Linked DNA regions of Caenorhabditis elegans. The protein of the gene in region 1 purifies or fractionates together with the protein of each later gene. This does not show direct contact. Each region holds a gene or a part of one and is shown in the gene's direction. Other genes may lie near its edges.

The links.
Region 2: the proteins of chc-1 (region 1) and vps-33.2 fractionate together in Caenorhabditis elegans (co-fractionation; one large-scale study listed by BioGRID). This does not show direct contact.
Region 3: the proteins of chc-1 (region 1) and cap-2 fractionate together in Caenorhabditis elegans (co-fractionation; one large-scale study listed by BioGRID). This does not show direct contact.
Region 4: the proteins of chc-1 (region 1) and clic-1 fractionate together in Caenorhabditis elegans (co-fractionation; one large-scale study listed by BioGRID). This does not show direct contact.

Annotation. Positions count from the first base shown.
Region 1 is NC_003281.10:10,200,467-10,211,024, forward strand, and holds chc-1 (putative clathrin heavy chain 1), read left to right. Parts: upstream 1-3,354; 5' UTR 3,355-3,405; coding exon 3,406-3,528; intron 3,529-3,575; coding exon 3,576-3,696; intron 3,697-3,747; coding exon 3,748-4,112; intron 4,113-4,158; coding exon 4,159-4,338; intron 4,339-4,446; coding exon 4,447-5,307; intron 5,308-5,351; coding exon 5,352-5,654; intron 5,655-5,701; coding exon 5,702-6,856; intron 6,857-6,902; coding exon 6,903-8,124; intron 8,125-8,176; coding exon 8,177-8,755; intron 8,756-8,803; coding exon 8,804-8,940; 3' UTR 8,941-9,238; downstream 9,239-10,558. Other genes in the region: dbd-11 (DB domain-containing protein), read right to left, coding at 291-593, 765-860; dbd-12 (DB domain-containing protein), read left to right, coding at 1,157-1,396, 1,485-1,580, 1,637-1,729, 1,776-1,894, 1,960-2,062; T20G5.9 (Partner of Y14 and mago), read left to right, coding at 9,382-9,460, 9,518-9,587, 10,111-10,244, 10,304-10,515. UniProt on the Caenorhabditis elegans protein: Clathrin is the major protein of the polyhedral coat of coated pits and vesicles. May play a role in yolk protein clatherin-mediated endocytosis by oocytes during oogenesis.
Region 2 is NC_003280.10:6,598,493-6,605,582, forward strand, and holds vps-33.2 (Vacuolar protein sorting-associated protein 33B), read left to right. Parts: upstream 1-2,723; 5' UTR 2,724-2,831; coding exon 2,832-2,931; intron 2,932-2,981; coding exon 2,982-3,106; intron 3,107-3,156; coding exon 3,157-4,540; intron 4,541-4,594; coding exon 4,595-4,724; intron 4,725-4,772; coding exon 4,773-4,887; 3' UTR 4,888-4,959; downstream 4,960-7,090. Other genes in the region: epg-5 (Ectopic P granules protein 5), read right to left, coding at 72-354, 407-824, 872-1,027, 1,076-1,153, 1,203-2,158, 2,212-2,462, 2,508-2,638, 4,960-5,068 and 3 more. UniProt on the Caenorhabditis elegans protein: Plays a role in vesicle-mediated protein trafficking to lysosomal compartments and in membrane docking/fusion reactions of late endosomes/lysosomes.
Region 3 is NC_003280.10:10,866,680-10,872,996, forward strand, and holds cap-2 (F-actin-capping protein subunit beta), read left to right. Parts: upstream 1-2,516; 5' UTR 2,517-2,551; coding exon 2,552-2,554; intron 2,555-2,602; coding exon 2,603-2,720; intron 2,721-2,769; coding exon 2,770-2,863; intron 2,864-2,911; coding exon 2,912-3,025; intron 3,026-3,077; coding exon 3,078-3,228; intron 3,229-3,280; coding exon 3,281-3,385; intron 3,386-3,430; coding exon 3,431-3,556; intron 3,557-3,634; coding exon 3,635-3,736; 3' UTR 3,737-4,148; downstream 4,149-6,317. Other genes in the region: gmps-1 (putative GMP synthase [glutamine-hydrolyzing]), read right to left, coding at 49-109, 1,659-1,712; cyn-4 (Peptidyl-prolyl cis-trans isomerase 4), read right to left, coding at 4,150-4,355, 4,405-4,783, 4,840-5,626, 5,673-5,793, 5,849-5,927; copz-1 (putative coatomer subunit zeta), read left to right, coding at 6,233-6,250, 6,314-6,317. UniProt on the Caenorhabditis elegans protein: F-actin-capping proteins bind in a Ca(2+)-independent manner to the fast growing ends of actin filaments (barbed end) thereby blocking the exchange of subunits at these ends.
Region 4 is NC_003283.11:7,731,716-7,738,047, reverse strand, and holds clic-1 (Clathrin light chain), read left to right. Parts: upstream 1-3,136; 5' UTR 3,137-3,162; coding exon 3,163-3,256; intron 3,257-3,330; coding exon 3,331-3,389; intron 3,390-3,437; coding exon 3,438-3,802; intron 3,803-3,949; coding exon 3,950-4,112; 3' UTR 4,113-4,424; downstream 4,425-6,332. Other genes in the region: srr-9 (Gustatory receptor), read right to left, coding at 1-38; srr-10 (Serpentine Receptor, class R), read right to left, coding at 1,024-1,381, 1,459-1,776, 1,850-2,130, 2,184-2,353, 2,399-2,429; T05B11.7 (uncharacterized protein), read left to right, coding at 4,553-4,762, 5,245-5,337, 5,661-6,205.

The DNA of each region.
Region 1 (10,558 bases):
GAGCTGTTTATTTGTAAATCTATAATATAAAAGTTCCACAGAAAACAGCCGTGTGCGGCATATTTCAAAATTTGCCGAGCTCGGCAAATTCGGCAAATCCACTTTTTGAAAATTGCCGAGTTCGGCAAACGGCAAATTTGGCAAATTTACCGCACACCTCTTACAGAAACTCCAATTTTTAGATAGCAAATTGTATACTTGATATTATTTCATGCGGTGAAACCTTTTAGACTATTAACAAAATTCCAGAATACTGTAACTTCCCGATAAACTTAAATTGTTTGACCTACCGTTGTGAATGTATAAGTATTAAAATGACACAGCTGCAGACAGGAATCTGGAAGACCTCGAGCTTCACAGCACGATCGGAAAATAAAATTGGGATTTGTTAATCTGTCAACACTTAAATGTTGGGATGTCTTCTCCGGTCGTAACGCGACACTTGCTTCTGCCAACTCAGCCTGTTCATGTGTCTCATCGTTTACCAAGACTCCGTCAATTCGTTTAGTTAGTGAGCCAAACGCTTTTCTTCGAGCACAACCGTATTGTCCGCAGGCATATCCTTGTTGGCATTGATTTCCTCCACAAGATACCTGTGGAAAATTAGAGTCAGAAAATGAATTCGAATGAATTTTTTAACAGTCACAAATGCTTTGATAGTCAAATCACTTCGATAGCAGTGACAAATTTTCTTTCTACAAATGACTTATGAAAGTTATACGGGCATTAAAATTCAATTTCAAGTTAACTATGTTTTTACTTACCGGTGGAGGAGTCCGCCGTTTACAGCAACCACCTGATTGACTGCAACAATGCATTAGACCTATGCAAAACGATAAAATAAGGAGTAGAAGCTGCATGGTAGAGCTATCAAAAATTAGCAAAACTTCTTCAGAACTTGGGTTTTTATATCAATTATTAAGTTGACGCAACTGGTATTTTGAGTACCTATACCTAGCCGCAATTACATATTGTTAATTGGTAGTCACTCAAGAGAACTCAAGAGGATTTGAGAATATTCGAGAGGTAACTGGAATAAGTGGTCATCTACTTGGGCTTTGGCTAATTATAATTATAGTCAAGTGTAATTATCAATGAATATAAAATCTGAGAGTTTCAAGTAACATTTCCATAGTTTCATATCTCCTCTACCATCATGATCCGAATCTTCTTTGTTCTTCTCGCTACTCTCCTCATTCTCACCGATGCATGTGGATCTAGTGGTGCATGTGGTTGCTGTGGTTGCCGAGCAAAAGCAAAGGCGAGAGCTGCAAAACGAGTTAGTGGAGATTTGGTTCAAGAGTTTGATGGAAAGGATGATGGAAATATTTTTGGACTCAAAGTCTGGAATGATACGAAAACTCCAATCACTGAAAAGAGCATTCAGTTGTTGACAGTAAGTTTGTTTCTGTACATTTGGTAGATCATGGGGATTTTACTGTAAAAAAGTCAAACTTTTAAATATATTTCATATCAATTTTCAGAATCCTAACCACTTGTTCCATGTATGCTGTGAGGAACGACAGTTGCCTCCCGCATGTGTTCAGAAATGCCATTTTAATGTTTATAACAAAGGAGTGGTAGGTTTAAATAGGTCAAGTTTATATTGTGAAATTGAATTTCAAAAATTGTATAGCTGGAATCAATGTTCTTTGGTTCAAGTGAATGCCCGATTGAATTCCTGCCAGAAATGCAATTTTGTGCGGCTCAAGGAAAAGATCATAGCCAGGTAAAAGGTCGTTGAAATCTGCTCAATAACTTCTTACTAGTTTCAGTGTTGCTCACAAAGTCAGGTGGATGCAACGACGGCTGGAAGTAAATGTCTAACCTTCTGCGATCAAACACCCGATCTCTACACTCCAATTGATTACAGCTATGCGCCTTGCCTAGACAGGTTTCCATATCTTTTTATCTTCCAATTCTCGAGGCAAAAGTCATGTTGAATTAAATTGGTTGCAGGTTCGAGGACATGAAACGATGCTTCTATGATAATGTGAAGTCGGATGCAATCACACATTTCGAGGCGAAAAAGAGTTTGCAGGATAAGAGTACATCTTATTAATTGTTTTTGATTTTATATTTACTTAACTTGAGATTTCGAAATAAAATGTGCGATTTCGCAATACCCATCACGACATACTTTGTATTTCATTTTCCATTAAAGCGGAACTATTACACATTTGCGAATTTCTGTGGCAATTGCATAAAAAAACCGGTACCGGGTCTCGACACGAAAGATTCTCTTAAATGCAAAAAGTGTGATCTTCGGTCCGTGGAGTACTGTAACTTCCAGCAGGGCTAATACAAGAGAATTTGAACAGAAAACAATACATAACATTTTTATTCAAAAATGCCAAAAAATTATAATACAATTCAATTTTGAAAACAGTTTTTCGTTGTATTTTGGACCAAAAAAATCGGTTTTTTTTTGCGCAACGTTGTTGGATTCTCAACGTGTTTTATCTCAGTTTTTCCTTGAATTTCGGTAAAACAGAACAAAAAATGAAATGTTCAAAAAAAGTGTTCCAAACTACAGTACTCCTTAAAGGCGCGCACACTTTTAAATCAAAGAAAATTGGTCGTGTCGAGACCCCGTACTGTATTTTTTGTGTAAAACTCGAAAAATTTCCGTGTATGAGTGATCTACTGATTGAAATTGAGAAAACAAAGTTTATCCGCAGATCAAATTTGTTTTTTTTTTCTTTTCAATATTTCACGGCAATCATTTCTTAATCCAAACACGTAATTCACTGTCGTAATTGCTGATGACTCATTCATTTCATACGAACGCTTTTCTTTTGTCAATCCTTCGGCCGTACAAACATAAATTTTTCCTTGTGAAATTAAAAACTCCGCCCAAAGCGAAGAAAATTCCCAGAAGAAATTCGGCGGAAAAGCGCGCTCTACCGAGAAGCGGGGCGCGTCGCGTCGCGTGCCCTGTGATGACAGGGCGACTTGTTCAAGCTTGGCAAACAGGAATCATTTCTCTCGATCAACTGGCTTCTGCATGTTTGACAAAGCTCTCTCTTGATAAGACATTTCCGTTCAATTGTTTTATTTTTACGTTTTCCCTCTTTTTAGGTGCGCTATGAGTCCTCAAAAATTTTTCTTTACTCAGCAAAGAGTTCTAACTTTTGGAATTACAATTTTTCCTTCATTTCAAATCATTCACAGTAATAACAGCGGCCAAAGCTAGCTTTAAAGCTGTATATTTTTCCATTTATTCCTTCAATCTACCGATATTCACTTCTATTTCCCGGAAATGTCTCACTTTTGTGATAAATTTTACGTGACTCATCTTTTTATTTTTATCGTGTTCTCTTTTCTTTTTTTTTCAAACATCTCCATTTGCAGGTATATAATTTATTGTAAGAAGTTTTTCCATTCTACACACAGTTTTCAAAGATGGCGCTCCCAATCAAATTTCACGAGCACCTGCAGCTTCCGAATGCTGGAATTCGGGTGCCCAACATTACATTCTCCAATGTCACAATGGAATCTGATAAGAACATTGTTGTTCGTGAGATGGTAGGTCAAATAATCGCAATTAACTGTTCTAAACGGATAATTTCCAGATTGGTGATCAACAACAGGTTGTGATTATTGATTTGGCCGACACAGCGAATCCAACTCGTCGTCCAATTTCTGCTGACTCAGTAATCATGCACCCAACTGCCAAAATTCTTGCTTTGAAATGTTAGTTTTCAGTACCATTTGACTCTGAAGCTTATTTATACCTTTTTTCAGCTGGCAAGACACTTCAAATTTTCAATATTGAGTTGAAAGCAAAAGTGAAAGCTCATCAGAATGTAGAAGATGTAGTTTATTGGAAGTGGATCAGTGAGAAAACGATTGCACTCGTTTCCGACACAGCCGTCTATCATTGGTCGATCGAGGGTGATGCAGCTCCAGTCAAGATGTTCGATAGACATCAGTCGTTGGCCGGAACTCAAATCATAAATTATCGCGCTGATGCCGAAAACAAGTGGCTCGTTCTTATTGGAATTTCCGCAAAAGACTCCCGTGTCGTTGGAAGTATGCAATTGTACAGTACCGAGAGAAAAGTATCGCAGCCAATCGAAGGCCATGCCGCTTGCTTCGTTCGATTCAAGGTAGGACTAATTCGATGATGGATTTGTCATATTAATAATGTTTTAGGTCGATGGAAACCAAAACCCATCTAACTTATTCTGTTTTTCCGTCAAAACCGATAATGGAGGAAAATTGCACGTTATTGAAGTAGGAACCCCAGCTGCTGGAAACACTCCTTTCCAAAAGAAGAATGTTGATGTTCCATATACCGCTGACACAGCTGGCGATTTTCCAGTGTCTATGCAGGTATGTTGCTTATAGTCGTATAAACAAAATTTGATATCTTTCTGATTGATTGTTTATAATTTCAAAAGCTGAATGGTGTTGTTTATAAAATAAATTGTTGGTTTTCAGGTATCTGCGAAGCAAGGAATTATTTACCTGGTAACAAAGCAAGGATATGTTCATCTTTATGATGTCGAGTCTGGAACACGGATTTATTCGAATCGAATTTCGACTGATACCGTATTTGTGACCTGTGAATACACAGCTACAGGAGGAATAATGGGAATTAACAGAAAGGGACAAGTTCTTTCCGTCTCTATCGATGAAGCTAACTTGGTTCCGTTCGTTACGAACCAGCTGCAAAATCCAGATTTGGCTTTGAAGTTGGCCGTGCGTTGTGATCTGCCTGGAGCTGAAGAGTTGTTCGTTCGCAAATTCAACTTGTTGTTCAGCAACGGACAGTTTGGAGAATCAGCCAAGGTTGCTGCATCGGCTCCACAAGGAATTTTGAGAACACCAGCCACCATTCAAAAGTTCCAGCAGTGCCCGTCTACTGGTCCAGGACCATCTCCACTTCTTCAATATTTCGGAATTCTTCTCGATCAAGGAAAGTTGAATAAATACGAAACACTCGAGCTGTGTCGTCCGGTCTTGGCACAAGGAAGAAAGGAGTTGATAACGAAGTGGCTCAATGATCAGAAGTTGGAGTGTTGTGAAGAATTGGGAGATCTCATTAAGCCGCACGATGTGAATACTGCTCTTTCAGTCTATTTGCGTGGAAATGTCCCGCACAAGGTTGTTCAATCTTTTGCTGAAACTGGACAATTCGACAAGATCGTAATGTATGCCAAGCGTGTCGGATTCCAACCAGACTATTTGTTCCAACTTCGTCAAATTCTCCGTAATTCGAATCCTGATCATGGAGCAAAATTCGCTCAACTTCTTGTCTCTGAGAGCGAAAACGGAGAACCACTTGCTGATCTTTCACAGGTAACGAATGAGAATAAGGATTTGGCTAATTTAAACCTTTTCAGATCATTGACTGTTTCATGGAGGTTCAAGCTGTTCAACCATGCACTTCATTCCTTCTCGAAGTTTTGAAGGGTGATAAGCCGGAGGAAGGACATCTGCAAACGAGACTTCTTGAAATGAATCTGCTCGCTGCCCCAGCTGTTGCCGATGCTATTCTAGCCAACAAGATGTTCTCTCACTACGATCGTGCCGCTATCGGACAACTCTGCGAAAAGGCTGGACTTCTTCAAAGAGCTCTCGAACACTTCACTGACCTCTACGACATTAAGCGAACTGTTGTTCACACCCATCTTCTCAAGCCTGATGTGAGTTTCTAATTAGATTTCTAAAATAAATGCTAATTTATTTTCAGTGGCTCGTTGGATATTTCGGAAGCCTTTCTGTTGAAGATTCGGTCGAATGCTTGAAAGCCATGCTCACTCAGAATATCCGACAGAACCTCCAAGTCGTTGTGCAGATTGCATCCAAGTATCATGAACAGCTCGGAGCTGACAAGCTGATTGAGATGTTCGAAAATCACAAGTCATACGAAGGTCTTTTCTACTTCCTTGGTTCGATTGTCAACTTCAGCCAGGACCCAGAAGTTCACTTCAAGTACATTCAAGCTGCCACGCGCACAGGGCAAATTAAAGAGGTTGAGCGTATCTGTAGAGAGTCGCAATGTTATGATGCCGAACGTGTCAAGAATTTCCTTAAGGAAGCCAAGCTCAACGATCAACTTCCTTTGATCATTGTCTGCGATCGTCATAACATGGTTCATGATCTTGTTCTTTACCTGTACAGAAACCAGCTCCAGAAGTACATTGAAGTCTTTGTTCAAAAGGTTAATGCCGCCCGTCTTCCGATCGTTGTTGGTGCTCTTCTAGATGTTGATTGTAGTGAAGATGCTATCAAACAATTGATCATTAACACTCGTGGAAAGTTTGACATTGATGAGCTTGTCGAGGAAGTTGAGAAACGCAATCGTTTGAAGCTTTTGAATCACTGGCTTGAATCGAAAATCCAGGAGGGAGCGACTGATGCTGCTACCCACAATGCGATGGCCAAGATTTACATAGATTCTAACAACAATCCCGAACGATTCTTGAAGGAAAATCCCTACTACGATAGCAAAGTTGTTGGAAAGTACTGCGAAAAGCGTGATCCTCACTACGCCTTCTTGTCATACGAACGCGGACAGTGCGACGCTGAATTGATCAACGTGTGCAACGAGAATTCACTATTCAAGAATCTTGCAAGATATTTGGTGAAGAGAAGAGACTTCACTCTGTGGGAGCAAGTTCTCAACGAAGAGAATGTTCATCGTAGACAGCTGATAGATCAAGTGGTTCAAACTGCTCTTTCCGAAACTCAAGATCCCGAAGACATCTCTGTGACTGTTAAGGCATTCATGGCTGCCGATTTGCCGAACGAACTTATTGAACTTTTGGAAAAGATTGTTCTCGATAACTCTGCATTCTCGGAGCACCGTAATCTTCAAAATCTGCTCATTTTGACTGCAATGAGAGTAAGTTAATTATTTTAGAAAACATATTCGATCAATCCACTTTCAGGCCGATAGAACTCGTGTGATGGAGTACATTCAAAAGCTTGACAACTATGATGCTCCAGATATTGCTAACATTGCTATAACTTCTGAACTCTACGAAGAAGCGTTTGCCATTTTCAAGAAATTCGATGTGAACTCAAGTGCCATCAATGTTCTTATCGAGAACGTGAACAATTTGGATCGTGCTTACGAATTTGCTGAAAAGTGCAACCAGTCAGATGTCTGGGCATCTTTAGCCAAGGCACAGCTCCAACAAAATTTGGTGAAGGAGGCTGTCGATTCGTTTATCAAGGCCGATGATCCAGGAGCGTACATGGAGGTTGTGAACAAATGTTCTCAAACGGAGCACTGGGAAGATCTTGTTCGTTACCTTCAAATGGCTCGCAAGAAGAGTCGTGAGTCATACATCGAAACGGAACTCGTTTTTGCTCTGGCCAAGACTGGTCGTCTCACTGAACTTGAAGAGTTTATCGCTGGACCAAATCACGCTCAAATCGGACAAATTGGAGATCGTTGCTTTGACAATGGAATGTTCGATTCCGCTAAGATCCTTTTCAACAATGTTTCCAACTTCGCCAAACTTTCCGTTACTCTTGTTCGTCTTGGAGAATATCAAGGAGCTGTCGATGCTGCACGCAAAGCCAACAGCACGAAGACATGGAAACAAGTGTGCTTCTCTTGTGTCGAGAATGGAGAGTTCCGGCTTGCCCAGATGTGTGGACTTCACATCGTTGTCCACGCTGATGAGCTTGAGGAATTGATCAACTTCTACCAAGATCGTGGACATTTCGAAGAGCTCATTGCTCTTCTCGAAGCTGCATTGGGTCTTGAACGGGCTCACATGGGAATGTTCACCGAACTCGCGATTTTGTACTCGAAGTATAAGCCAGAGAAGATGCGTGAGCATTTGGAATTGTTCTGGAGCCGTGTTAATATTCCAAAAGTTCTTCGTGCTGCCGAGCAGGCTCATCTTTGGTCCGAGTTGGTGTTCTTGTACGATAAATACGAAGAATATGATAACGCCGCACTGACAATGATGCAGCATCCAACTGAATCTTGGAGAGAGCAACATTTCAAGGAAGTCATCGCTAAAGTCGCTAATGTTGAGCTATACTACAAAGCAATGCAGTTCTACCTGGATTATAAGCCACTTCTCCTGAATGACCTTCTTACTGTGCTATCGCCTCGGTTGGATCATTCGCGCACAGTTTTGTTCTTCAATAAGCGTAAGTTTAAATTTCGTTTAGTTTTTAAACTTTTAATAACAATAATTTTCAGTGAAGCAAATCCCACTGGTCAAGCCTTACTTGAGACAAGTTCAAAACTTGAACAACAAGGCTATCAACGAGGCTTTGAATCAGTTGCTCATTGATGAGGAGGATCACGCCGGGCTTCGTTCTTCTATTGAGGCTCAAGACAACTTTGACAATATCACTTTGGCCCAACAACTTGAGAAGCACCCACTTGTGGAATTCAGAAGAATTTCCGCATACTTGTTCAAGGGAAACAACAGATGGAAGCAATCGATCGAGCTTTGCAAAAAAGACAAGCTGTACAAGGATGCCATGGAATACGCTGCAGAATCGAGAAACGGAGAACTCGCCGAAGAGCTCTTGTCATTCTTCCTGGATGAGAAACTTTATGATTGTTTTGCCGCCTCCCTTTACCATTGTTATGATCTCCTTCACCCCGATGTCATCATGGAGCTCGCTTGGAAGCATAAGATTATGGATTACGCCATGCCTTACATGATCCAAGTTATGAGAGATTATCAGACGAGACTTGAGAAGTTGGAGCGTTCTGAGCATGAGAGGAAAGAGGAGAAGGCTGAGCAGCAACAAAACAATGGAATGACCAGTGAGTTTTAACAAATATTTAGAATTTAAATTTATTTGATATTTTCAGTGGAACCACAACTTATGCTTACCTATGGTGCCCCTGCCCCACAAATGACTTATCCAGGAACAACTGGTGGCTATGGCGGACAGCCTGCTTACGGTCAACCTGGACAACCAGGATATAATGCCCCTGGATTTATGTAATTCGATAGTTTTATCCCCATTTTCTTACCCCCACCCCCTCACTTTCTCCCCGCATCAATAATTATATTGTAATTTATTGCTTGATGTCTATACACTTTTTTTGTTTAAATTATGATATTCTATTTCTATTTATTCCGTCCCCTATGAAATTGTGATGGTTGTATTCTAATCCGTGAACTTATCCTTAAGGTTGTTGGTCCGATGTGTCGTCTCTCTCAGTTCTGCCCGTTTTCAAAAAAAAGTTGATCACAACTCTTTTAAACCACCAGAACCATCATGAATAAATTAATTCGTTGTTACCAATCGCGTTCGAGTTTCGGATGAAATACTGGTTCAGTCCATCATCATAACATTTTAGTTTTACGATTTTAACTTTTTGTATTATTCACTAGCTGAATTTTTTAAATTGAGATCTAGAATAAGCCATTTTCAGGCCGTATAATGTCTACTAAGCCCGCCGCCGCGAAGACGAAGCCATCGTGTAGTGAAGGTGGTGATCTACGTGTTGAGACTGAAAATGGTTCGTAGATTAAAAAATTCCACCGCGAAGTTTTGTATAAATTTAATTATTTTGAAGGTGAAACATTCATCACAGCAACACAAAGAGCCGACGGAACTTGGAGAAAAGCGAGACGAGTGAAAGGAGGGTCAGTAATCTGGCGATACTGGGAATATAATACCGCTTGTCGATTTACGAAGAATTTTGTACTAGACGTGACAGAAATTTCGATTTTTCGGCTGTTTTTGCTGATTTTTAGGCGAAATTTTGAAAGAAATATCGTAGTTTTTCCGGGGAATTTCATAATTTTCTCACAAAAAGTTGTATATTTTACCGTTGTGTTGTTCGTTAAATTATTCCTAATTTAATTATTTTGAATTAAAAAGATTGTACAATTGAAGCCAAATCTGTAAAACAATGCGAAATTGCCACTTGTCCACGTGTAGTACAAGATTTCTCGTAAATCGACATGCATAAATCCGCGTCGCAACTTTCAAGATCTTTTCTCCGCTTTTTTAGTTGTATTTCATAGAAATCTTAACAAAGATCAAAAAAAATTAATTTTCGGGGAAAAAAGGACACTGTAAAAAAATTAATTTTTCTCGCGGCGAGACCCAAAATCTGTGCGCCTTTAAGTACGCCTTTCAAGTACATAAAAATACAAATTTCAGATATATTCCTCAAGATGAACAACCAAAATATCAAAATAAAATGCAGCTGGAAGCGACAAACGGCCGAAGTTCTGTTCCAGCAGGAGTGAATCCACGTGCAATGGCTTCTGGTTCATCCCGTAAGCCTGTCAGTGGTGAGTCTTAAATATAATAAATTATACATATTTGTATAATATTTTCTCCATTTTTTCAGCCATCAAAGCTAACGTATGCATCACACCACAGGATCATTTCCAAAAGAAAATCGATTTGACGAAAAAGAAGATTGAGGATATTGAAGGAATGGAATCGAGAATCGCTAGCGGGGAGCTTGTTCCTCAACCGAATCAAGTGAAGAAGATCGCACGAAAGCAGGAGTATTTGGATGAAATTGAAAAGTTGACGCTAGAAATGAAGAAGTTGTGAAGGAGATTGCAACGATTAAATATAGATTCTACCTCTCTGTTTC
Region 2 (7,090 bases), on another chromosome or scaffold:
CACATAAAAGTAGTGAATGGGATCCAGAAAATGAGTAAAGAATGGGGAAATCAAAGAAAAATAGGATACAATTATACATCAGTAAGGAAAAGATCTCCAAACGCGGATCGACCTATTTCGAGAAGCAATTTGGGCGATGATTGGATGCGATGAGTCTCGATCTGTACAAAATATGCGGTGGCTTTGTTGAATGCATTGCTCATATTCTGATTGGATTTTTGTTGAGCTAGATCCTTCAAGGTTGATATACGAGAATTGAGTACCGGTGAGTTGGCATCACATCTAGGACGCTTTCCTTCTCCGAGTGTTTGCTGCGTCAAGTAAAGTTCCAGAATGTGAAGAGTAACACGCATTCTGAATAAGTTTTTTTTGTTCAATGGTTGCAATAAAATTAATTTAAACATACTTTTGAGAATATGCTGTCTTTTTGCTGCTGATTAGGGCAGTCAAAAAACTCGATTCGTCTTTGGAAGCTTTTCCAAGATATTTAATTAGAGATGAAAGAAGGTCATCACTTGGTGCAAAATGAGCAGGAAGTGCAGAACTACGATTTGCCATCCATTGAAGATGACGAGCCAGGAGACATATGAAACCAGATTCCGAGGCGACATGTTTAGGACGTATACTGATCACGTAGTGGTGCAAATCAAAGAATTTGTTCTCATCAACGCCCCCATAATCCATGAAAATTTTTAGAGTCAATGGGAGCATCTGAACTTTGTTCTCTGATGATGGTACAGTCATGAGATATGATTTGATAGATTTCAAGCTTCCTGTGGGAAATTGAATCCAATGAAGAAGTTCTGCCCAGTTACTGTCCGTTCCTGAAGTACCAAAAATATAAATTAAGAGATTATAAAATCTCACTTACTTAGGAAGTAGGCACATATAACTTTTTCAATAACTTTCAATGCAGTTGTCAACTGATCAATGTTCAATGAATCGACTAAAGTATTGACAGATGTTAGAACAAGAGGAGAAGTTGGATTTGCAGCCAAATATTCCGACCATATAGATACAAGAGCTTCTGAATTTAAAAATTTGAATAAAGATGTCTATATATAAATTAATTTACCTCCTAGTTTGGCATCTGTGATATTCTTCCACATTGCTGTCAGTTCGCGAGTGACGACCCGGAATTCTCGTAGATTTGCTGTAGAGAAAAATTTAATGAAAAATTGAGTTTCTGGAAATATACTTACAGTGATTCAAGGCTAGTGCATTCACATCCGAAATTAGTGAATTGTAAGCTGCGGGAATTTGTGAGGACTCCGCTTTCAAAAGTAGAGAACTTTCGGTTTGAATCCACAACTTCTGTTTTTGAAGGGATACTTCGGAGAATGGCTCACGTACAACAAAACAACAGATTTTCCTCCATATAACTTGAATTACTGATACCATTTCCACGGGATTTGATAATGAATCCGAGGGCAAACATTTTGTTACAGCAGATGCTATTCCGGCAGCATCTTCCGGATAAATTTTATTCCAGTCAGATCGTAGCGAAAATGATTTGCAAAGCTCCAGCAACGATGCACGGACTTTATCATAATTTCGAGGACGAGCAGCAAGACGAACAAGTACTCCGAATAAAGAAGCCAAGTAGCTTGGTCTACTATCCTCGTGCATTGTTTGAAGAATATTGCTCCACGGAATACGAGCAACCATTTGTGAAATAAATGAAGCACAGTCTTGTGATCTTGTATCCAGACAATTTTCCATTGCTGTTATAGCGAGTCTTGATGGCCATAGAGCTTGCCAATTCAGTCGTACTAGTTGCCGTTCAATAACATCATAATAGTGTTGAGTCCCATGTGTCAGAATAGAAAGTTTTTCACAATAATACTGCCAAACCAATGACTGAATGTTCTGCATTCCAGGTGGTATACTTGAATTGAAATGAAGGGCAGATAGAAAGTCGACGAATCGATCGAGAACGAGCATTGCCTGAGCTTCATGGGAGGTCGAGAAAGGTGGGTGAGTTGGAGAGTATGGGGCGATCAATGGCGAAAATACTGCGGCAACACGGGTGAAATATTCATAACATTCTCTTTGCAGCACTGAAACTGACTTGTTGGGCTCGTATCCATCACGAATAGGCACAAAAAGGAACAGTTGCGCGAGACGAGTTACTGAATCCAAGTAACGAGACCATATTCTAAAAATAGAGTTTTCCAAAAAATAATAAAATGTACGATCATAAACACTTACCCATAGAAATTCGGAAGTTTTGTTCTTGCTTCATCCAATCGCTTAGACAATATTCTAGCACATTCATCAGCTTTGGCAGCTCCCAAGTCAAACGAATTTTTCTTCTTCAAGTAATCGTTTGCATCCAATTTATCAACAATAGCGTCCAAAAGTGAAGCAGGAGTTGAATTCGTGTTACATCCATCCAGAGTCAAGTCAAGTCCATTAACAATGTTATCCGGGAAATGGTGAAACACAAAGAAAATGACATGCTGAAAATAACCAGAATGTTTGTGTGTCTTCTTATATTATTTTACCTGTAAACACAATGCATGAAGTGGAGACGAAGGATCTGGTTGACTGGCAAGATTTGCAAATGCAATTGGCAAAAGAGCGGCGAATTGATGTGGAGGTAAGCCAGCGGCAGCTTGTTGCATGCCAAGGCGACCTGTAAGAAAACTTTTGATGTCTGCGTCTCTTCATCTTATATACTCTTTTCGCTCGTCAAGTATGCTGCCGTGTCTGCATGCATCACATTTCGCGGTTCAATGCAGAACGATAATATTACCACGCAGGAAGACTCAATTTATTTTATTTTATTTCCATGACTATATTTATTTGAAAAGTTCAAACAATCAACCATGGCACCGGGTACCGCCGAGCTGGAAATCGATGAGACTTTGCACTTGCTTCGGATGGTTATGCAAAGGGAATTCATACATTATTTAGAAACATTACCAGGTATTCAAATAATAGTTTTTTTTTCATTTTTGTGAATGTTATAATTTCAGGAACAAAAGAGCTTTTTATCGATAAATGTCTGTTAAGACCACTCGATATGATTGCCACATCATCAGATATGAAACGACACGGAGTGAAACGAATAATGCATTTTGATTTACAGAAATCACCACAGGTAAATAGTGAAGTCCAATTATATTTGGTAATTTTTGTTTTTTCTCAAAGGTTTGGAACATCGAAATCGATCAGCGAGTCTTCTTTCTAAGACCCAACGTAGAAAACGCCAGAAAAATTGTCGAGTACGTGGAAGAGTCAAGCGAAAACCGATCTATTTGTGTGATCTGGTGCAACAGGCAGTTAGAAGAATGCGATCTCGCTTTTGAATCGTCTGGAGTCATTGGACACATAACTCAACTTAGCCTGAATATGTGCCTTTTGCCGTTAGAAAGCGATTTATTTTCATTGCAACATGTGGAATCGGCGCAACCGGATCTTTTCTCTGTTGCCAACATGTTTGTAGCACTTCAAAATTTATACGGAGTAATCCCAACAGTCTACGGATTGGGATCTGAATCGAAGAATTTATGGAACCTAGTTCATGCACTGTGCTCTAGTAACGAACTTCGAGCTCGACCAGATCAACCAATTAGTCATTTATTCCTATTCGATCGTCAACTTGATCCGGTTCCTGTATTGTTGACCGGAGCATCTTACGAAGGTCTTCTTCATGAATTTTTTACCATTGATTGTGGGAAGCTTGCTTTCCCAGTAGATCTACGGAAACAAGTTCAAACTGGCCCATTGGATTTTGATTGGATCGAGATTAATCCGGAAGAAGACAAGGAGGCACATCAACAAAATAGAGGAGATACAGTGAAATTGGATAATTGTGAGGACATTTTTGCATCGATTCGAAACAAGCACGTCACAGCTGCCCTGGAGTTTTTACATTCCAAAGCGAAATCGATACAGAAAAGTATCGAAAAATCATCGATGATTGATGATGTTGCGGATTATAGAAACTTTGTTGAAAAAGACCTGAGAGCGCTCAAAAAGGATCACAAGCATTGTGAATTGCACATTAATGCATGCGAAATGATGATGAATAAAGTTAAAATGGAAGATTATCGAACCATGTTCAAATTAGAACACGAAATGCTACTCGGAACCGTAACCCATGAAGAGTATTTTGATTTTGTTTTTGAAAGAGTTCCGATGAGATCCTGTCGTGATGTGGTTCTATCGATGATGTCACTTGCATCTCTCAAATTAGACGGAGTTCCTGATGATACGTACAACGAATTCGTGGAAATGTATCTACAAAAGTACGGATACGAGCATATGTTCGAACTTCAGAATCTTCGAAATTCCCGTGTTATTTACGCCCGTCGACATATCGCACACGATCGGACTATTTCGGAACGTGCCAGGACATGGGAAACATTGGCAAGAAAGTTCAGAATCGTTAAGGGAAACGAGCCAATGGATATGTCAAATCCTTCTGATATGAGTTATGTTTTCGGTGCAAGAATTTCTCCCCTGCTTTGCAAAATCGTTGAAGATACAATAGATCATGGATGGAATCAAGCAGAATATGAACGAATTATTGGTAAGCAGTTTTAGTTTTTGATTCATAATTGAAACTAATACATATTTCTTACAGGAAAAGATAAAGTATTAGTCGAAGAGAATACATATATTGCGGCAGATCGTCGACCAGATAATCGTACTCGAAAAGCCATCATGGTCTTTGTCAACGGCGGAATTACCTATTGGGAAGTGGCAGCTTTACGGTGAGTACAAATTATAATTACAGCGAAAGAACAAAATGTTTCTTTCAGGCTGCTGGCGATTCAAAAGAACTTCAGAATTCTCATCTGCACAACGCATGTCATCAAAAAGCGAGAATATTTGGAAGTCAGAGCTAAAGACGCATCTTCGGTTTTTGGATCATAACGGGAATTAATGTATAATATAATATGGGTTTAGTTCTTCTGTTAAATAGAATCATAATAAATTATTGCTTACCTAACAATTGCAAAGCCATCTTGCTTCTTTCCGGCATTCTCACAGCGTCCGATAGCTTTCTATACGCTGTGCACAAATCGTCCGAATTGAGCACTTCTGGAGTGAAGACCTAAAATAATTAGATGAATCAAAAGTGCGGTGATTTTATGTTCCGCTTTGTTAATTCCCCCAACAAAACACCACTAATTAGAAATGCGATGTACCTCAACAAGAGGTTCAGAGAGTACAAATCCATCTAATGCCAGTTGCATGACGTCCATTTGCTCTTCGGGACGGAATTTGACATACTCCTGTAATAGAAAATAAATAGATGAAGAAGAAATTAAAATATCGCTTACTTCTCCCAAAGATCGGAGTGAATTACAAAATGAATCAGAAGCAACACTAAATAACAACTCATTCTCTCCAACAGAAGATGTTATAAGATAAAAGAGTGAATGTCCTGTGAGCTGCACATTATTTCTTGTTCCAGGATGCAATGCTGAAGTCATTTTAGCCACTAGAACAGATAGATGTTCGATGCTTGCAGTTGCTACAGCAGCCTTATCGACAATAGAAGCATAAAGTTCATTCCAAAATTCGAAACGTTTAGTCCTGTTTTGAGTCATTTGTAAATCAATTTCAGAGTTCAGAACATTCGGTTTAATGCTCATTGTGCATGCTTTCGGTTTCGAGCAATATGAGCAACGAATTTCAACAGGAATAGTCTGCTGTGTTGGTTGGTAAAGGGCTTTGATCTGCTTACAGTATGAATCATCATCCATTGACATTCTATCTCCGGATTGTGCGAACTGCCTGAAAACATTTCATATGTTAGCTACTTTATTATGGTGACGCTAAATTTCGCGATTTTTGTGCCAAAAATACGGTACCCGGTCTCGACAAGACAAATTTTTACCAAATGCGAAAAGGTGTGCGCCTTTAAAGAGTACTGTAATTGCAAACTTTCGATGCTGCGGAATTTGCACCGATTTACTGTTTTTATTGTTTGAGTTTTTGATGATACAGATATTTATCGAAAAAGAACTATGAAAACCAATGAAAATTCCACAGCTTTCAACGAAAAAAATTACAGTACTCTTTAAAGGCACACACCTTGTTGCATTTGAAAAAAAAATGCCGCGTCGAGACCGGCACTGTGGAAAAATCACAAAACTTCACAACGGGGTAACAAATTGATCAAAACTTACTTGGACAGTTGTTTTATTGTGTTGATGAATGGAGAAGCAAGCTGTAATACCGTATGTTGCTGAAAGAGAATAGATGGATCTATGAGCGGAGCCTGTGGTAATCCAGAATGAACAGGTAGAACTGGGAACGGTTTTGCCGAAGATCTGGATCGAGGTGATCCTATTTCAGGTGGTAATGGTGATTCACGATTTTTAGGTGACAGTTGGCAAGTCACAGAATACAACTTTCTTTCCGAAAACTCCTCAGAATTGAAGTATGGCATATTTACAAAATCTAGCCACATGTTCTTATCACCAGCAAGAATGAGTTGAAGCAGGTAGTCCAGGTCAAATACAGAAAAATCGAATCCAGTTCTCGTCACCTCATGCTTTGTGAACAACCATCCTACTACAGCTTTAGACAATCCTTTTGTTTCAATCGTTGATTCTTCGATTGCTTTTCGACAAGCAGCCATCACATCTTGCATTTGTGGATCATCAATTAGACGTCGGGCATAGCATAAATTCAAATTATTAGCCTTTCTCAATCGATATGCTGAACCCGAAAGTTGTTGTAAGAGAATTGGCAATAGTTGATGATCGTTGCATACAGTTACTAATTTTGCCCATCGGAAAATAGCAAGCCTCTCCACAGGTACAGTAATTGAGCATTTGGATGATGCTTTCTTCACAGCATTATCCAGTGTATACTTATCCTTTTTCGTAAGAGTTTCGAAAAAATGTCCATAAAAAGTGTTGAATGACTTTTGTTCGACTCGAAGCATAACATACGATGCAAACGGAGAAATCGATAGCATCGAATCAGGAATAAGTGGGGATACTGTATTGTCGGATGAAAACATAGACATAATACCCTTTGATTGGTTCTTTTCAGCTGCGAGTTGCTGTTGATAAGCTTGAAATATGATACCAGTTATTTCGTAGAGTTTGTGGGTATCATT
Region 3 (6,317 bases), on another chromosome or scaffold:
AAGTTATTTTATTCTAAAATCACATTTTCATTGAAATTATCTACTTACCGTTCATATTGGCACTATCAAATCGATCTTCTGGCGCCTTCTTCGGTGGTGGAGCTTTGTTCTGAAATATTATAATTCTGTATGGTATGTATTTTCGGCTTTTTAGAGCAAAATTTGAGAGCTTGTTAAACGTGGAGCCTGCTGACATGCAGCTGCCAAGGCAGATGAAATGAGAGTGAAAATGGCTGAACTGTTAGGAGATAGTGAGAGACGCAGGGCATAGAGTGCAAAATAAGTTGGAAAGAGCAGCTTTTTGACTAAAACTGGCCTGAAAAGTCCGAAAAAAGTAGCCAAACATTGCTAAAATCTAAAATTACTCCAACTTCTCCTAAATTATTATCCTGAATTGCATCTTTTGGTCATTTATCTCTAATTAATTCATTGATTTAGGCACATTTTAAGTAGATAGGCATCAAAATTGGACGCCTACCGACTTAAAATGTGCCTAAATCAACCAAAATATGCAATAAAAGGTGATAATTTCATAAAAACAGTATTCCTCAATGCTTTGAGTGGCTCAAAACCGAGCATCGGGCGGCTTCAAGAGTAGGAAGAAGATGACAGCAAAAAACAAAGAAGAGATAGTTGAAAAGTTCTCTCAGCACAGAAACTGAAATCAAAATCAAACAATGTGAGAGAGAGCGAGAGAGTGGTGAGACGTAGAGATTGAAAAAAAAAGAGAGAAACAAAACCAAAGGGAACCTTTTGAATGACGACAAGAGGAAAGGAGAGAGCAGAACCAGTGCTGTAACAGAGAAAAAGAAATAATGACGAAAAAGATAAAAGTCAGGAGAGAGAGAGAGAGAAATGGTGGAAAATCATATTAAAGATAATATTTTAAAAAAGTGCTGCTGTACTTGGAAAAATTGCAAAATTTTTCAACTAGACCCTAGTTTCCTAGTTTTCCAGCATTTTAGTGTTCGGCTGGGAGAATATAACTACGATTTCGTCGAGGAGAATTTTCTACCAAGAAAATATATTTTCCAGTGAAAAACGCTTATCCCATGAGAAAAACCAAGGAATTCTCACTGAAAATTGTGATAAATAAGACAAAAACTGCCAACAAATATTAAAATATACTCGGTTTTTAGACGAAAACTATCAAGAAACGGCGCAGTAATCCTGAAAATCAGATAGAAAGTTCTAGAAAAGCCGGTATAATCTGAACTCCACGTCAATTAGGTCACCTAGTTTCGATATATCACTGGATTAACGTGAACATTTTTATTTATTTAAAAAGAAAACCCTTCAGGTTACAGGAAAATTAGCTTTTTTTCGCGAAAAAACATGTAATTTGAGCGCCGAAACATATGGTGGAACCCCCCTTGAACAGAAAAGTCGGCATGTGGCTTTAGTGACAACTGATCTTTTGTCTTCAGAGGAAGATATTGTGATTCTAGAGAACTTTGAACTATTTGGAGTCGGAAAAAACAGAATGTAGTTGCGGAGAATGCAATAAAATTGCAATTATTTCTTTTCTTTTATAGTGACGATTTCAGGGAAAATTGTAAAAGCCCTTTGCAGCGATAAAATAATTAAATTCAACGAAAATTCAAAAAAGAAATCCATTAGCAAAGCGGCAAGATCAAAAGAAAAGTACAAGTTCTGACCGTGGAATGTTGACTGTCCTCGTTGATGTCCAACATTGAACTCGATCTTTTCATAGTATGCTCACTGACTTTCGAGACGGCCTTTGTTCTTTTTGCACGCTGAAGCTAGGTTATAATGATTTGAAGTCAATGGAAAGTGGAATTTTTTGGCAATTTATAATGAAAACCTCCTTAAAACGCACGTTTAAACGTTGAAAATGCTTTTTTTCGTTTTTTAACGTTGAAAACCAAATCGGGAGCCAATTTACAGAAATGTGCGCGAATTTTCACCCAGTTTTTCAAAATTTTCACATTTAAATACTCACTTCAGATGGAAGGTTGCGGCAGTGACGTTTACTCTGACGCGCTCCAATTTTGACTCGTTTTGGCTGCAATTACTGAAATAACAAAATTTAGTGGATTCGGTGTTTTCTCGGAGATGAAGCGATGAGAATGTACAGAACACGGATAAACTTGCGATGAAAATTTCATGTCAATTAATTTAAAATTAATTTTTTCGGTTTATTAACATAAAAATTGACGGAAAAAACTTAAATTTAAAAGCTCGAAGAAAAAAACAAAAATTTGAAGAACTCTGGCGAAACGCCAAAAGCTCGCGGGTCTCGCCGCGATTTGCCGACGAGAGTGACTATGGGTACGGTGGAGGGACGAGAGAGTGAGAGAAACGGAGTGTAAAATCAATGAAGTGGTCGCTCCGTTTCGCAACTTTCCTGCTTTCTAATGGCTTTTAAAATATATTTTTGCGAAATTTAATCTTATTTGTGAACTAAAAAATCATTACCCAATCGTTTAGAGTCTTTTTATGTTTTTAATAGGTTGTAACGACTTAAAATCTGACATAAAAGTTTATTGTTTCAGGGAGCACACCCACATCCGGCTCGAAACTATCAAAAATGGTATTTTAATAAATATTTTAAAAACAATTTATAATAAATATTTACCAGGGAGAACAACAGCTCGATTGTGCCCTCGACTTGATGCGAAGACTTCCTCCACAACACTGCGACAAGAATTTGACGGACCTCATCGATCTGTGCCCTCATCTTGTTGATGATCTTCTCAGTATGTTTCCTTTTTAACTAATTTAAAAAAATTCGCTTGATGGTTTTAGGCACTATCGATCAACCGCTGAAAATCGCCGCGGACCGTGAGACCGGCAAACAGTATTTGCTTTGTGACTACAATCGAGATGGCGATAGCTACAGGTATGAGTCATTTTATTTGAAATCTATCGATTTTTTCTGATAATTCAGATCACCATGGAGTAATACCTATGATCCACCACTCGAGGATGGACAATTGCCATCGGAAAAGCGCAGAAAAATGGAAATCGAGGCAAATGCCGCTTTTGAGTCATACCGTGATTTGTAAGTTGACAGAAAAATCATATATTTGCTCATAAATAATAATAATTTCCAGATACTTCGAGGGAGGCGTCTCATCAGTTTACTTCTGGGACTTGGATAATGGAGGTTTCGCCGGAATTGTGCTCATCAAGAAAGAGGGAGACGGAGCCAAAAATATAACAGGATGTTGGGATTCTATTCACGTTATTGAGATCACGGAAAGAGTTGGTTCAAAAACTGTTGAAGAGTTTTTTTTTTTAATTTATAATTTTCCAGGCACGCCAGGCTCACTACAAGCTCACCTCCACTATCATGCTGTGGCTGCAGACAAACAAAAGCTCCAGCGGTGTGATGAACCTCGGTGGCTCCCTTACAAGACAGGTTTTGGTTTCGAGTTGTGAATATATTTAAAAAGAAATATTATAGCATGAGATGGATGCACCAATCAACGATCAGAACACACACTTGGCTAATATGGGACGAATGATTGAGGATCAGGAGTCGAAAATGCGTCTGACGATCAATGAGATATACTTTGGAAAGACGAAGAAGGTAAGCAAAATGCAAATTTATTATATGAAAAAAGTTTCATTTTTAAAAAGTACAATTTTCGAAAAAAATATTTTCCAGGTGATGTCGGATCTCCGTTCAACAGAGAAGCAGAGTGAGCTCGAGAAGCAAGATGAGATCGTTCGCGAGTTGAACAACGCCATGGCTAACCGCGGAAACTGAGTGATCTATCTACATTTGCAGCTCAAAATCTCTCATTTTAATGCTTTATTTGCGAGTTTTGTATATTTATCTACCATAATACCAGCTTGTTTCTTCTTTTAAAACCTTTTTTCATTGCCTTTTCTCGAGTGTAAACTTTTTTTCTAGAATTATTAAAATCTCTTTTCCCACAATTTCTCCTCGCTCCAAAGTGTATGTGCTATGGCTTTTCCACAATTTATTACCAAAATGCCTTGATGTTCCTTCCGAGAAGAGCTTGAGCTTTTCCTGGACCATTTTCGTTCTAGGTGCTCGTTCGACTGTTTTGTATTTTGCAATGTAAATTATCCTCTTTAAGATTACTTTTCATTTCAATTATATTTTCGATGAAAGTATTTTATTCCTTAAATTTAAAAAAAAAGAGAGGGTCTTCATCACCACTTTGAGAAATCTCCAAGGCCTGCTCTTGCAAATTTAGTTTTCTTTGCGGCCTCCAAGGGTACATCTTCCATTTTTCCTTGTCGTTTATTCACAGCTGCGGCCGACTTCATGTACTTGCCGACTCCAGTTCCAACTGCTTCTGGTTTTGTTGCAGTTTCTTTAGCTTTTTTATTTGCTAATGAAGCTGCGTCCTTAGAAGCTGAAAATAGATATCATTAGTTTTAAAATTAGTAATAGAATTAAGAAACTTTTCTTCAAAATCTCTGCTCTCTCAGCTTGAACTTCTTTCTCAGCTTCTTCAAATGGATCCACAAATACTTCAGCTCTCATAATAACAACTGAAACCATCGGAACATCAGTTCCCTCTTCAGTTTCCAACTTTTCAATCGTCGTTAGTGTATCCTGTCCTCCAACAAGTCTCCCAAAAATTGTGTGCTTTCTGTCCAAATACTTGCACGGCCGGAATGTAATGAAGAATTGTGATCCGTTGGTGTTAGAGCCCTTATTAGCCATCGAGAGCACACCTCGAGCATCATGGGAGAAACCGGAGATGAATTCATCTGAGAATGGCTTATCCCAAATTGATTCTCCACCATGTCCTGTACCAGTTGGGTCGCCTCCTTGCAGCTGAAATTTTTAATTATTTTTTGTTATAACTTTAACTATTTTTATAATAAATTTACCATAAAGTTTTTAATTAACCGATGAAATTTGGTGTTATTATAATATCCATTCGAACAATGTGTGATGAAGTTTTCACAGGCCTTCGGAACTTTCGGCGCGAATAATTCCAGATTCAATGGCCCAAAATTTGTAACAAGCCGCACAAAAGCATTTTTCTTAACTCGGCTGTACCGAACTGTATCATTATCCAAAACAGCTGCTTTATTGCTTGTAACTGGAGCCATTACAGTGGATGTGAATCCAGCTGCGACTTTTCCTTGACTATAATGTGCTGCATTGATCTCATCGGCAGTTTCATCAGTTTCTGTGGAGCTCTTCTTTGGGACATATTCCTTATCCAATTGATCAAGAACTGATTTGCAAGCATTATTCATTCGTCGAATGTAGAATTTTGGATCTTTCATTGCATCTTTTTCTTTTTTAATCTCTTCTGACGTCTTTAAATCAAGCTTCACGTGTAGAAACTGCTCCATATTGAATTTTTCCAAATGATTTGGGTCTTGAAGATCAATTATATCAGCTCTTGTGAACGGAACATCGGTTAGAAGATCCTTGAGATGATTTCTTTTTAAATTCAATTCTTGCACGGCTTCATGAGAATAGACGTTTCCGGAAGTAGCGATGGCCAGAATATGACTGTGGTCCGTGAATGTTCTGAATGTAACTGGGCATCGGAACTTTCCATCTTCTCCTTTATCGAATTTCAAGTGGATTAGATCCTTGGCAACCAACGGTTTTCCTGTACACGGGTTTTTGCCATGCTTCTTCAAGTAAGGAACGATAGCACTGAAAATTTTTTAATAAAAAGTAAAAAAAATAAACAGAAATTTACGTTAAATCGAAAATTTCTCCTGATCTTGCGCAAACTGGGTCTTCAAACGGTAGAAGTGACAGCGAGCAATGGTTGATGGGTAACCTTTTGAACTGTGCTCTTTGGAGTCTTGTTCCAGTATCTGAAATATGAAATTAAATCTTGTTTTTATTTATAACTCGTGTTTAAATAAAAACCATCTTTATGTCCTCCAATCGATTTCCATTCAGAAGTGGTCAGATAGAGTTTATCTTTCTGATGTTGCTTTTTTCCCATTTTATCTGAAAATAATACAAATAAATACTAGTTACATTTATGTAGTTATTAAGCTTAATTAAAATGCCGATTGTTAAAAATTGCGAAAACAAATCGGCTCGTAAATCTACACGAAAACCTAGGCCGGCGGCCGCCAGCCACCTCGGGTCTCGCCACGATCACATGTCGATTTACGCGCTCAATTTCATTGACTATTGACGTGGATTATCTTGTTTCTCAATGTTTTTCCTCCATTTAAATTGTTTTTCAGAGATAAATTTTTAATTTTATAGGTAATATTAGCAAAAGAGAGGATTTGCAATAAGATGGCAGACTTTGACACTGTAAGTTTCATTTGCAGCTTATTATTGAAGTTTTTTTTTTTTAACTAAAAAGCGAAATTTCAGAATC
Region 4 (6,332 bases), on another chromosome or scaffold:
TCAAAAGAGAAAACTGGGAGATTTGACATTTTTACCATCAATTTATCGAGTTCTGAAATGAAAACTCTACTCTTTTCTCACTTTTTGAACCTTTATTTATACTTTTTTTGATTGTTTCCATAAGCTTCGGTCTACTGGCACGATTTTTATGAAATGGAGGAAACATTGGGCAAACCAAAGAGACCCAGACGCAGTGTGCGAGCTGGGTACATTTTGTGTGACCGTTTTTGAATCTGAGTCATTTCAAGGTGGATCATATCTACTTTAACAGGTGATATATTCTTGGAATATTTTGCTTCGGATGTGATCCTAATATGTATAAGTCAGGTTTGGAGGTGCTTGAAAACGACATTTTCAACATTAAGTTCAAATTTTTTTAATTTGGTACTAATATGGCATGTAGAAATTCTAAATTTCAGGAATTTGCGTTAATAATCTTGTAAGCAACAAATTCCTAGAAGAATATTCTCCATAACTTAATCCTTTTTTAAGACATTGTTACAGTACCCAGTTCTACTACCTCACCATTTTGGAACTTCAAGTGTAGTTCCATGACATCTCTCAACTTACTTGTATATTTTAATAAATCAACCCGAGAGAGTGTTCGAAATTGTACTTATTTTTGCTGAGGAATGATATATTTTGTCCAATATTAGCCAAAGGCTGCTCCAATATACAAGCTCTTTGTGCACATTTCCTGTGACCAAAAATAATGAGTCAAGTTTGAACCAAAATGTTATCACTAAAAATCATACGGGAATTTTGATTTTTCAGGTATTTCATTTACCTGATAAGGCTTGTTCATTTTTTCTTATTCCGTATGAGTATTTTGATTTTAACAATGTTTGTACACTACTCCTTTCAAATTACGTTTTTTTCTAGTAGTTTTGAATTAGAATATACATATTAAAGAATCAAATGTATGGGGTTTCCCTCAAATTTAAAGTTATTACGAAAAAAAGGTTTCCAGCTTTATTCAAAATTCACAAAATGCCACGCGAGAAACAATTGAGATCATTTAAATCAAACGTGCCCACCATTGGCAAGAATAACTTTTTTAATGATTATTAACAGAAAACCAAAATTTGGAATAATAAATGTACATGCCGCAAAAGTGTTTTGCGTAATTGGTAGGGAAGCTATAATGCAAATTCGAGTCTCAATTTTCTGTAGGCGATCAATCATTATCCGATAAGTTTGATATACAATTGGATCTTTTGTGCATTCAAATTCATCATTATTGATCAAAATGCAGTTGGTAGATTTCAGATGTTCTTGTAGAGTGCATGGTGGAATCAGCACGAAAAATATGTAAAAAATTATTGCAGCAAGGTTGAATCCAAGAATAATTGAGTATAAAAGAGGATTAGAATTGAAGAATCTGTAATTTAAAGTTACTATTTTCAATTATAATTTAGACAATCAGCCAAATTTTGCTACCGGGACTTTTACACTTACGAGGTGATATAGATACCATTGATTAGACTCCACAACAAGAAAAATGGTGCAAATCCGCCAAGGCTCGAAAGTGAGCCATTGGTAACTAATATCATCTCGAGAATTTCATTCTGTCGGATATCGAATTTTTCTAAAACGCCAATGTTTTTCAATGTTTTCTCTTCTTTTGCTTTTTGCAGCTCTTCATTAAAATAATTAACTTCGCGGTTCAGAGCAGAAGAGATAAAAATGTAAATTGCAAGACAGATTGTCGATATGTACCAAATGTAGAAGTTTGTAACCAGAATGAAAATTCGCGAGAGAAAATTTTGCTCTCCTCTGAAACATTCAAACATTTAAAAAAATCGAAATTTCATTTATCATTCCCAGATTTTCCTAGACTAGAACTTACCCTCCATAATATATCTTTCCATTGATGAAATTGTAGATTATCCAAGACATCATTGCTACAAACCAAGGTATTGAGAAGCACAGAGCAAGAATATGCAGAATACGAAAATTATCCAACTTTGGATTTGCCACCTGTCGTAACATTCGAACTCGTACCAATCGTCCGCAAAACTTTTGGACCAGTCCATTTTTAGTCCACCCAAAAACACAAAGGGAGCACACAAATCCAAATAAGGCAGAATATCCGAAAAAATTTCCTTCTCCCCATCCGAACGATAATGGCTGTAGAAAATATCTCGTAAGTTTTTCTGTTTTGAAACTCAATTTCCACTTACAGTTCCAACTGTTTCCATTAAAATTGGAATTCTTATGAGTGTTACTACGATCATAAAAAGTCCTAAAATGCATGTGAAAATAGTCATTCGTTTAGATTTTGCAGAACAATCTAGCAATGAAAGCTTCACCAAATACCTGAAAGGGCCAAGTAGTTCTGACGATATATCATCTGAAACTTTTCAAATCATTATAGAAAAGTTTATGTATACTTCACCATCGGAAGAAAATACGGGAAGGGTGGACATTCCAAAACTTTTAAAATCAAGTCAACTCCGTTCTCATTTTTCAAACCTTTATACAAAGAAGATCCACAGAAATGATGTCAAATTTCTTTTCTTTTTTGTGACTCGTTACGAATGTGAGTCATTTCAAAGTAGATAACATTCACTCAATTTTGTGATACGGTATTTAATGTTGCGGGAACATACTTATTATTGATTAAATAAATATTGATTTTCAATATAGGTGAAAAGCTTTGGGTATTCAACGGGCTTGAAATAGTTTGAATATAATTACACTCATCTAACTCTACTTTGGCAGTGTTTTAAATGTTCAATAAATTCCTGAAAGAGAGAAGTAACATTTTTTGAGCAGTAGTGAAATCGTTTAATTTGAGATTTTAAAACACGGAAGTTTCTCTACAAATCCCTATGATTAATTTCCTTTTCACGAAAATTTTCGCGAAAAATGAAGCTCTGTTGCGAAATTTAATTTTCAAACTTCCGCCAACAACCGGTCGCGTCGCGTGCGCGCGTTGCGGCTCCAGCTGTCCTCTTGATTCATTCCACTATTTCGCTCTTCCCAACACGCTGTCCTTCTCGGATTTTCCAGTTTAACCGCTTGTTTGATTTGTCATCTTCGTGTTTTCTAAAGCTTTTCTGTCTCATAAATCACTTGTTTTATCTGCTAATTATTGATTTTTTCCAAAAACATTTAAATTTTGAATTTCCAGGGTATAAAACACAAAAAAACTACAAAATGTCGGATCCAGTGGCGGATTTTTTGGCTCGTGAACAGAATTTATTTGCTGATTTTGATGGGGCACCACCAGCAGCTGCAGCAGCTAATCCAGGTAAGATTTTGTTATGAAATTTCATGAAATCGATGATTCATTTGTTTATTTTACATTTAAAGTGATTTTTCTAGATGCGCCAGAAGCCGATGCTCCAGCTCCAGCTCTTGATGATGACTTTGGAGACCTCCAGGTTTTTAACAACTTTCTTCAACAAAAAATATAATATTTTGCTTTTAAGATTGCTGGTGACGAGCCACCACCGGTTGTGCATCCAACTGATTCCGGAGTCGATTTGGATGGACTTGTCGACGACAATGCTGCCGCACCAGCAATCGTTGTTCCTGCCGTAGAACCAATGGTGAATGGAAATCATTCTGCTTCTTCCGGAGGTTCTAAAGGTCCATCACCAATTCTCTCAACTGTCCCAAGAATTGAGGCTGAAAAAATTCGACTGTGGAAAGCTCAGCAAGAGCAACTTCTTTCGAAAAAAGATGAAGCTGAAGAAAAGAAAAAGATTGAACTTCGTGCAAATGCCAAGAAGGAGCTTGAAGAGTGGTATAAACAACGCGAGAAGACCCTTCAATTGTCACATGACGAAAATCTGTAAGTTTTCGAAATTCGATTAGATTCTTAAACACGTAAAACCATTTGCATGAAATATTGAATTCAATCATTTTGAACAAAAATAGCTAAATTATTAGAAATTGCTCAAAATTATACTTTTCCCAATTTTCATTTTAAAAATTGCAGGAAAAACGAGAAATCCAATCAAGAACTTTTCGCCAAGCAACAAGATGGAGATGCTCAATGGGAAACAGTGAACAAGCTCGTTGATCAACAAAAATCGAAGAGTGGAAAGGATCTGAGTCGTCTGAAAACCCTGCTTGCTGGTCTGAAACATGCTGGAAAATAAACAAGTATCTTGAATATTTAACGCAAACACTTATATTTTTCTCGCCGTTATTTTTCCTTCGCATATTCGCTTCAATTCTTTTCACTGTTAAATAATGTATTTATTATTTATGAGCAAAAGTAGTCAAGTTTACGTTTCCCGATTTGGTTGTCATTCACTTTCCCTCCCTCCAGCCACCACCATCATTTTGTGTCGCCCTTCAAATTTTTTTCAATTCAATCCCCTGTTCTAATCAATCCATTTGAGCTCCGATTTCCGATAATCCCTTTCTTGTGATAAGTAAAAAAAGAAGATGAACTGTTTTACCGCCCCATGTTCGTCTTTCTTAATAGCGTATCCGTTCGCTTCTGATTCTTGCTAGGTGTTGTGTTGTGTTGTGGCATGCTCTTTTGTTTTTCTGAAATCTTTAGCCCAACGCAGCCAACATCTGGCAGTTTCAGATGAGTTTTGGAGATGGCAATCCCACGTTCGAAGAACTTATGGAAGTTGTGCAACGGCAGCAAGAAGTTATTGAACTTTTTGAGCAACAAATTGAAGCCTGTCGTATAGAATGTGTGAAACTGGCAGATGAAAGTGAGAGAAAGAGTGAGCTGTTTATTGAAATGGAAAAGACTGAAGAAATTATGAAAAATGAAATTGAATTTTTGAAAGTAAGTGAGAAACTTTTATGTTAATATTATTCACATGACAATATCAGATGTTTTTGAAAAAAGGAAAAGAATAAAATACTATTTGATTATTATCCAGATGCGAAAATTTGCGATTTATGGCTCAAATATGGTCTAGACACGACCGAATATATTCAAATGAAAAATAATGTGCGCCTTTAATAAGTACAGTAGTATCCGCGAAAAGGTGTTTTGAAAGTTTATTTGATATTTTCTTTAGAAAACTTTCATTAAAAAATATTTTTGTGAAACTAAATAATTGAGAAAAAAAAACAAAATGTAGAAAAGAAAGAGGAAATTTTTTGTGCAAAAGAGAAAGGCGAAACTGGAGACTACTGTACTTCTTAAAGGCGCACTCTCAATTTTCATTCGAATAAATTAGGTCGCGTCGAGACCGGACATCGTATTTTTGTCTTAAAAATCGCAAATTTCGCCACGCAATAATACATCCGAAATTTCCACAGACCGGGAATGATTCAAAGCGAAATGAACGGGAGGAGAAAATAACTGATTCGGAGCTGGAAACTGTTGGGGAACTTAGGATCAAATGCAAAGAGGTATTTAAATTCTCGGTCCCGCTACGAGTCAAATATATTTCCAGCTACCGTACCCGTGAGTACGGTATGTTTTATTTTTAATGGGTTGGCTGATATGTATCATGTTTCTAATAATTGTTAATATTAAAAAAGGTTATAAATCAAAAATATTAGAAAAAAACGGATACACGCACAATGAAACTCAAGGGTACGGTAGCTGGCGAATTTTCACTGCAATTTTTGCCATATTTCATGGATCATTTTAAGACCAGTGTAAAAGAGAACATGCATCATTAAAATTACCTGAAATACTTTACCAATTGCATAACTATTCCAACTTTCAGATAACCTTCAACCTAGAAAAACTCAAAACTCAAAACGCCGCACAAGAAGTTGAACTGGAACTTCAAAGGAAAAATAATGAACTTCTTCGATTGGAACTTGATTCCGAACGACAACAAAATTACGATGGAAAGCGCAAAGCTACAGTAACCACTGAATCCATTCAGAAGGATATGCTAGAAAAATGTGCAAAACTTCAAGAAAGTCAGACTAAATATCAAATTGATTTAGCTAGAATGAAATCAGAATTAGAGCTCAAAGAGCACAGGGAGAAACAATTGGAACGACATTATGAAGACATAATGGATGAGATGAAGGAAATTCGAAAAGAAAAATCATCGGCAATGGTGAAATGCTCTGCTATGACTTCTGAAATTGCAGAGCTCAAAACTAAAATTCAGCAGTTGAGAGGGAAGTTACCGAGAAATGAGCATGATATAGAGGATATGAACAAATTGCTTGGAGATCAGAGTCATTTGATTGCTGCGTTGAGGGAAGAGACAAAATTGTTGGCGAGAAAGTTGGAAGGAGACTCCAGGGATTACAGGTAGGGTAGGGGTGATCTAATTGTAAAAAAAGACAGACGCGCTAGAAACAAGAAGACATACCTTCCAAAAGCTTCCAAAGAAGCTAACTAACAAATATCGGTATTTCCTTGGTGTTTTTGATAACAA